2 linked regions of the Ovis aries genome follow. The protein of the gene in region 1 interacts with the protein of each later gene in a pairwise test. Links are inferred from orthologs where the notes say so. Each region holds a gene or a part of one and is shown in the gene's direction. Other genes may lie near its edges.

Evidence for each region.
Region 2: the proteins of RGS20 (region 1) and FASLG interact in binary tests that used the Homo sapiens proteins (3 or more experiments, as listed by UniProt). The two-hybrid records come from large-scale screens. The link is inferred for Ovis aries from reciprocal best matches to the Homo sapiens genes RGS20 and FASLG.

What each region holds. Positions count from the first base shown.
Region 1 is NC_056062.1:34,891,113-34,895,393, forward strand, and holds the start of RGS20 (regulator of G-protein signaling 20), read left to right. Parts: upstream 1-1,239; 5' UTR 1,240-1,313; coding exon 1,314-1,486; intron 1,487-4,281. UniProt on the Homo sapiens protein: Inhibits signal transduction by increasing the GTPase activity of G protein alpha subunits thereby driving them into their inactive GDP-bound form.
Region 2 is NC_056065.1:39,430,821-39,435,269, forward strand, and holds the start of FASLG (tumor necrosis factor ligand superfamily member 6), read left to right. Parts: upstream 1-1,582; 5' UTR 1,583-1,792; coding exon 1,793-2,128; intron 2,129-3,214; coding exon 3,215-3,260; intron 3,261-4,449. UniProt on the Homo sapiens protein: Cytokine that binds to TNFRSF6/FAS, a receptor that transduces the apoptotic signal into cells. Involved in cytotoxic T-cell-mediated apoptosis, natural killer cell-mediated apoptosis and in T-cell development.

The sequences.
Region 1 (4,281 bases):
GAGATCACAAATATTTTCTCCTAAGTTTCCTTTTAAAAGTTTTATAATCTTAACTCTTAAACTTGGGTCTATGATTGATTTCAAGTTAATTTTTTAACATGATGTGTGGTCCAACTTATGTTAGTTTTATATATCCATTTTAGGGGCCTGGGACTATGTTATGAAAGGAAGTTCTTTCAGTTCATAGTCCCCAGCAATGCATACCTGGGGTCCTTACCTCTGTACTCCTCCAGACCCAGCAGAAGCCACCTGGGCCTTAGATACCTTTGACCAAGGATCAAACCCAGGCCCCCTGCAGTGGAAGCGCAGAGACTTAACCACTGGACCACCAGGGAAAGTCCAATAATCTGATATTTATAAAGCACTTTACAAAAAGGAAGTATGATGTAGAAGCCAAGTTTTGACTTCATGGTTAGATGACTATCGCACAAGGAAATTACTTCAATTAATTCTGTGCTGTGCTGTGCTTAGTCACTCAGTCGTGTCCAACTCTTTGTGACCCCATGGACAGTGGCCCACTAGGTTCCTCTGTCCATGGGGATTCTCCAGAAAGAACAGTGGAGTGGTTTTCCATGACCACCTCCAGGGGATCTTCCCAACCTAGAAATCAAACCCAGGTCTCCTGCACTGCAGGTGGATTCTTTACCATCTGAGCCACCAAGGAAGTCCTCAATTAATTCTACAAGACATAAATAAAAAGTAATAATCTTTGAAGTGAAGTGTGGTTATGAGTTTAGCAAGCATTTCCAGCCACAAAGCTGACTGCTGCTAGAAGGACCTTTTACGAGACTGAGATAAAATGGCTCCTCTGCCTCTCGAGAGTATAGTCCAAATTTTTCACATATCACACACTACAAATGCAGAATATTACCACATGATTTATTTCCTTTATCACGATATACTAAGCAATATATCACTTGAATCATTTCTTTCAGTTTTGATTTAGCATTAAATTTGAAGTAGGAGTACATTGCTACCTGTAGAGCTGAGGAGCCTGATAGGCTACAGTCCATGGGGTCACAAAGAGTCTGACACAACTGAGCAACTTCACTTTCACTTCACTTGCAACCTGTAGAGGGCAGTCAGAACATACCGAGACTCTCATCCTGGAATAGAGCCCACGGACTGTGGATAAACTGCTGACCCACAACACAGATAATCCTCTTGCTTCGAGGGATGCGACTTTACAGGGAGGCCCCCAGCAGACGAAGCGATGGCCCAGCACCAGCCAAAGGAAGAGAAATAGAGTGGACCCTGGGCTGGTACCGTTAAAATCAAGCTACAGGATTCGATTGAGGCTTTATTGTAAAAACATGCCCAGGCTTTCCCAAGACAACCAACAGGGCCACCAGAAACATTTCTCCAGACCATCGAGGAGGATACGATTTCTGCCTCTGCCGTGGGCTGAGCCATATAATGTGAATGTTCACCAAACCGTGGAAAATGAAGGATGTGCCACAGCCACGCACAATGTCAAGGTAAGACCATCTCCCCAGTCCGTGACCGTTCTTGGCAAGGAAAGGGTTTATCCAGAAAGAATACAAAACCATAGGAAAGCTTTAGTGTCAGCGCTCACTTTACCTTATTGAAGATGTATCAAAAAGGCTTCCAAACTAAACCCAAGAGAAAAACTAGGACTTTGATAATAACCTGATTCTTCCAGTTTTCTCCAACATAAACAGCTTCCCTTTACAACAGCAAATGACTACATTTTGTTTGTTTCAGGAAGTAATGTCTTAAAAAGCAGAAAACCTAGCCATAGATTTCTATGGCTACTATCAATGCTTAGATATTCTGACATAAAAGTTATATCCCATATAGTAATGAAAAAAAATGGGCTTCCCTTGTGGCTCAGTCAGTAAAGGATCCACCTGCAATGCAGGAGATATAAGATATCCGGGTTCAGTCCCTGGGTTGGGGAGATCCCCTGGAGAAAGAACCCGCAACCCACTCCAGTATTCTTGCCTGGAAAATCCCATCGACAGAGGAGCCTGGCAGGCTATAGTCCGTGGGGTTGCAAGAGTTGAACACAACTGAGTGACTAAAACACCACCAATGAAAAAGTATAGATTGCTTTCCACCAAAATTGCTTGAGGGAAAAAAAAATTGGTAAAACTAATACAGGCATGAAAGACCATTTAGGAACTAAGGGTGTTTTTCCTAAAGTCATAGTTGCCTAGATGAATTTCTTAAGCATGAATTTCTATCAGTAGACAATGTGATTTCCCCGAAGAGTAACCATTTTCCTATTCAGCGTTGTGTGTATCTTTGCAGAAAGTACAGTTTAAGTCTGTCGATCCTCTTAACTATTAATAGAAACACCTCTTAAAAGGCTATTTAGTATGGAGGGGGATGGACATGTGTTAATGCCTGTGACCAATGATCAGAGCTCAGAAGTAAATGCTGATAAATTCTACAACCGCAGACCTGTCCAGATTCTGCAGCACTAGAAACTGTGCCTGTGCCTTCGCTCATATCCTCATAATAATCACGTATTTGCAGATTCTAATTATCTAGATCTGTCCTTTCCCCATAGTTTTTTTGTTTTATCTTTTGACTGCACCATGCAGCATATGGGGTCTAAGTTCCCAGACCAGGAATGGAACCTTGGTAGCATGGAGTTTTAACCATTGGACAACCAAGGAAGTTCCTCCCCAATCTTATTTTAACCAACTGGCACAAGGAGAAGTTGTTTGTTTGTTTGTTAAGTCATTGGGAAGCTTTTTCAATAGGAAGGTACTTGATTTCAGTGGTTCAATAGGAAGCTACACTTGATTTCAGTGGTTACACAAACCTTCTCATGTGTTAAAATTGCATAGAACTATACTCACCTGTCGGGCTTCCCAGGTGACTTAGTGGTAAAGAATTCACCTGCCAGCGCAGAAGATGTGGGTTCCATTCCTGGGTCAGGAAGATCCCCTGGAGAAGAAAATGGCAACCCCTCCACCACACACACACATACACACACGGGTGCATACAAACTTATGAAATCTGAATGAGCTCTTAGAATTATACCAGTGTGTCTCCTGGCTTTGATGTTGTACAATTTATGCAGTTTCCATTGGGTGGAACTGTGTGAAGAGTGTGTGGGACCACTGTGTGTACATTCTTTTGTGAAACTTCCAGTGAATCTATAATAATTTCAGAATTAAATGTGTAAAAAAAATCCTTCCAAAAGCAGGTTAGACTGAAAATAACAATTCATTTGTGTTGCATAAATGCGTTGTCTATTGTGGTTCTTCTTGCTATTCTTTTTTATTTGGATTCTTAACCAATTTCGTTAGGTCAGAAGTGCTGAGGTGGTCAAACCTTTTTTAGAGATGAGAAAGCATGTTTGTAAAAAACACTGTTACATGTGTGCAGTCAGCTCAGTGGTGATTCAAACCCATGTTTTTTCTGACACTGACTTCGTTACTAAGTCAATAGATTCTGGCTGTGCTTTAGAAGCAGGCTATAATTTCCCAGGCTGGAATCCAGCCTCCTCAGTAGTGATTTATCTGTGCATTCTGCCCAAAGAACCCAACAAAACTGCTAATTTACTACAAAATAAATTAACATCTCTCCACCTACACAGGCACACAGACAGACACACACTTATGAACTTGACTTCATTGGGATTATTTTTTCTCCACCAGGATTTCTGCTTCCTTCCATTCAGAGCACAGAGACCGAGTGGGAGAGGGGGTGCTCCCTGGACCAGGTGCTCTTTTTAGTGATAAAAGTGAGAGAGAGGAAACTTTACAGCCACCCTGGTGAGCAGTTATCTACCCATCCATCTGTCAGTACAGATAGATGCATACACATGTATGCATTCTTTCCCAGTAATAAAAGTGATCAGAGCTTAGACCAGAAAATTTTCCACATAAAATTATTTTTCACGTCCTTTTAATTGCTGTCCCTCTGAGAGTGCAGACTTTTAGGTGCTCTCCTGGTCCAGGTGTATGACCCCTTGAGAAGCCCATCAAAGCCCTTGCTGTGAGACATTACACACTGAAAGGAGAGAGAGAAACTCCAAGGCCCCCAAAGGTACCTACCAAGACAATGGAGTTTTTATGGCAAAAGCAGGGAGCAGAAAGAAGAAAGGAAAAATCTCTCAGCAAGAAAGAAATTAGGCTTCCAATATCCAGCACCATATACATATATATCGATGTATTCAGAAGACAAAGTTATCCTGTCCTGCCTCCAGTTGTGAAAGAGCGAGTTTCCCAAGGACAGAGTTGGTTCTTCCCTTTGTGAAGGCCCTGTGAAAAGAATTCTGTCATAATTAACAACTGAGAGGCT
Region 2 (4,449 bases), on another chromosome or scaffold:
TCACACAGTCAAAAGCTTTAGGGTAGTCAATGAAGCAGAAATAGATGTTTTTCTGAAACTCCCTTGCTTTCTCCATGATCCAACACATGTTGACAACCATAACAGAGGTGCCTAAAGGGCCCAGGAAGGCCATTTCTCACAGTGAGTTTCATGGGAAACACAGTGGAGGGTGTGCAAGCCAGGCAGCCTGGCACACCCATGTCCTGACCTTGAGAGCTGCAACAGTGGCCCAACTCCAGCTGACTGGGTTTGCAGACAGGGCCTCCAGACTGCCCAATATTCTAGTGTTTCAAAACCCAATATGACTATAACATATATGGACTATCCCAATTTTTCTGAATGGCCTACACAACAAAAGTTTATTTTCTCAGTTCTGGATGATAGAAGTCCACGATCAAAGAGTCAGTAGGGCTGGTTTCTCCTGAGTCCTCTTTTCATGGTTTACAGATAACCACCTTCTTGCTGTGTGCTCACTTGGCCTTTTCTGTGTACATATGCCTCCCTGCTGTCTCTACCGCTTCTTCTTTTTTTCAGGAAGTATTTATTTCTTTATTTTTGGCTATGCTGGCTCCTTGTCAGTGTGTGGGCTTTGTCTAGTTGTAGACAAGCATGGGCTTCTCATTGCCGTGACTTCTCTCTTTGTAGAGCATGGGCTCTAGGGAACGTGGGTTCAGTGGTTGCAGCTGTAGGGCTTAGTTGCCCCATGCCATGTGGGATCTTCCTAGAGCAAGAATGGAATATGTGTCCCCTGCATTGCAAGGCAGATTCTCAACCATTGGACCACCAAGGGAGCCCTCTACCTCTTCTTATAAGGACATTAATCATGTTGGATTAGGGTCCCACTCAGACTACCTCATTTAACCTTAATTACACCTTAAAGGCATTATCTCCAAATACAATTACACTGGGGATTGGGATTCGGTGCTTACACTTTGGAAGAACACTATTCAGTCCATAACAGCAGTCCACTGTGAGTCTCAACGGTAATCTTTTGCCCCAGGCATCTGTGGTTGGTTTATCTTGTGCTTTTCTGGCCTAAGTTTTAGACTCAGCAAAACAGAGATGAATGTCTGCATTATGGACTATCCCGTTTTTTGAGGAGGACGGTAAATAGAAATAAACAACATTGTAAGGCACAAGCAAAGCAGGTCTGAGGGCTCTGTGAGGCATATGGCCACTGGTTTGCAATCTCTGATCTATTATAGAGTAGGCAGGCAAGTTTGTAACCTGTAAACTACGGTGCTTTGCTGTGTCAGGGTAAACAGTACTTGGGTGTGGGGGAGGGATGGCAGCAGGGGGTGATTCCCTCCTGCCAAAGGTAAGACCCAGAAGTGACTCCTCTGGCCGTGACTCGGTGCTTTCGCCCCACAGGCCACTCTCCTTGTAGCTGAACAGCGGCCGGAGCCTACAGAGCTGCGCTGACGCTACCCCCGTCTCAGGGCCTGAGGACAACGAGCCCACCCTACCAGCCTTTCAGGGAGCAGGGCAGCAGCGACTGGGGTTTTGAAAGCTTTCATCAGAAAGTTGTGGGCGGAAACTTCCGGGGGTTTGCTCTGAGCTTCTTGAAGCTTCTCAGGTTCAGATGCAGAGTGAGTGGGTGTCTCTTTGAGAAGCAGAAAGAGAGAACGAAAGAGAGGTGTTTCCCTTGGTTCTGGAAACTCTATAAAGAGAGAACCGGCTTCCTTCTCATGAGCAGTCAGAAATAGGAGTCCGGCCCTTGACACCTGGGCCTCCGCACGACTGAGGAAGAGGAAAACCCTTGGCTGGGGGCTGGCCTGAGGCACTGGATACCATGCAGCAGCCCTTGAATTACCCATACCCCTCAATCTTCTGGGTGGACAGCAGTGCCAGCTCCCCCTGGGCCTCTCCAGGATCAGTCTTCCCCTGTCCGTCCTCAGTGCCAGGAAGGCCGGGGCAAAGGAGGCCACCACCACCGCCACCCCCAACACTACCGCCATCGCCACCCCTGCCTCCACTACCGCCACCACCTCTGAAGAAGAGGAGGGGCCACAACACAGGCCTGTGTCTCCTTGTGGTGTTTTTCATGGTTCTGGTGGCCCTGGTTGGACTGGGGCTGGGGATATTTCAGCTCTTCCATCTGCAGAAGGAGTTGGCCGAACTCAGAGAGGTAAGCTGCCTGGGGGATTGCCGCACCCTGGAATGTGCGGAGGTGGGGGATGGGGTGAAACTGCCCTGCTGCAGTGGGGGAGGAGGGCGACAGAAATCCACATGGACCACACTTGGCTTGCAGCATACTTCTCAATCCTTTCTTCCTGTCTTAGAAATGAATCACGCTAGCCATCCTGTTCTGCCTGCAGAGAAATGGGGGCTCAAATGGGTGGAAGGAATATTTTCTATCTTGGGAGGGATCAGGATCAAATCAGGACTGGCAGATGATCAGTTGGCTGATCATCTGAGAGAGGAAGAACTCTGCTACCTACCTCATACTCGATTCAAGAAAGAAAAGGGACTTGGCATCTGAGAAGTGAATTTGTTCAAATGCACAAACTAAATTTCCTTGAAAGTGCTTAAAATTATTAGAACTATTTCAAATCACAAAACTGAGGCATGGACAGGCACAATTGCTTGGCCAGAGTCTGAGTTAGGAGAGGTTCTGGGTGCTTAGATTCCCTTTCCAGTGCTTAGTTTATTTGACAGTTCTTCTTCCTTTGCTTAAAGAACTTCATCAGTTCAGTCGCTCAGTCGTGTCCGACTCTTTGCGACCCCATGAATTGCAGCACGTGAGGCCTCCCTGTCCATCACCAACTCCTGGAGTTCACTCAGGCTCACATCCATTGAGTCAGTGATGCCATCCAGCCATCTCATCCTCTGTCGTCCCCTTCTCCTCCTGCCCCCAATCCCTCCCAGCATCAAAGTCTTTTCCAGTGAGTCAACTCTTCTCATGAGGTGGCCAAAGTACTGGAATTTCAGCTGTAGCATCATTCCTTCCAAAGAAATCCCAGGGCTGATCTCCTTCAAAGTGGACTGGTTGGATCTCCTTGCAGTCCAAGGGACTCTCAAGAGTCTTCTCCAACATCACAGTTCAAAAGCATCAGTTCTTCGGCGCTCAGCCTTCTTCACAGTCCAACTCTCACATCCGTACATGACTACTGCAAAAACCATAGCCTTGACTAGACGGACCTTAGTCGGCAAAGTAATGTCTCTGCTTTTGAATGTGCTATCTAGTTATTATGTATCTTTTCTCTTTTGCCAGTCCACCAGCCAGAGGCATACAGCATCATCTGTGGAGAAGCAAATAGGTGAGTTTTTTTATGCTTGCACGTTGAGTTTCTAAAAACAGTCCTCAGCACCAACCATGTTGGAGGAGTACCTTGAATTCCACCTTATTCTTAGGCATATATAGACTATAGAAGAGAAATCCTAACCAATTCTGAAATCTCTTGTCATTTTGGTTCTTGAAACTGCCCTAAAATATGAAGTGAGTTTAACTGTTCAAAATTAGTTAAGTATCACAGAAAAATTCAAAACTAATTTCTGCTTGAATTTGGAAAGAGAAACACAGATGTACAACCCTGGACCTTTGCCCACCCCCCACACCCCAAGCAGCTGGCTCCAGGCCTGCCCCCTTCCTCAGGCCTCCTGATTCCCATGTACAGGGCGGTGGCTATAGCTCCTCAGGAGAGAAGGGAAGGTGCAGACAGACACAGCTGTTGCTGGGAAAGATCCTTGCTCTCCTATTTAATCTCTGTACTCTTGCCTGGAAAATCCCATGGATGGAGGAGCCTGGTAGGCTGCAGTCCATGGGGTCGCTAAGCGGACATGACTGAGTGACTTCACTTTCACCTTTCGCTTTCATGCATTGGAGAAGGAAATGGCAACCCACTCCAGTGTTCTTGCCTGGAGAATCCCAGGGATGGGGGAGCCTGGTTGGCTGCCATCTATAGGGTCACACGTAGTCGGACATGACTGAAGTGACTTAGCAATAGCAAAAAAAAAAAAAAAAAATTACTTAAGAGTCAGACCTGATTTAAAATTTTAATAGGTTATATTTAAGCTTTTAAAGAGTGGGCAACCAGTCATCCACATTAGGGTGGTTCTTTTGCAGCCGCTGGAAAGCTTGGAGGAAGACGTTAGGCATTTTACAGAGGGTAGTCCCACTTCACTCAGAGACAATCATGCGCTGCTTTTGATAATAAAGGGAAATCCTCTGTGTGAAATTCAGGACAGGAAGATGACAATGTTGAACATCGGCCTCCTAAAGTTTCAGGACATAGTTTTGGAAACTGTGGATTTAGAATACTCGTTAAACTAAGATGGAAAGGAGGTTAGAGAACATCTGGTCCAGTCTTCTCACCTTTCAGAAGAGAAGCAAAACACCAGATGGATTAGTAATGTCCCCAAGACCTCTGCTGTGGAATGGGGCTGAGAAGGAGCTCAGGCTCCTGATGCCTTGCCACCTCCAGCTCTTACCAGTGTGTGCTCCGGCCC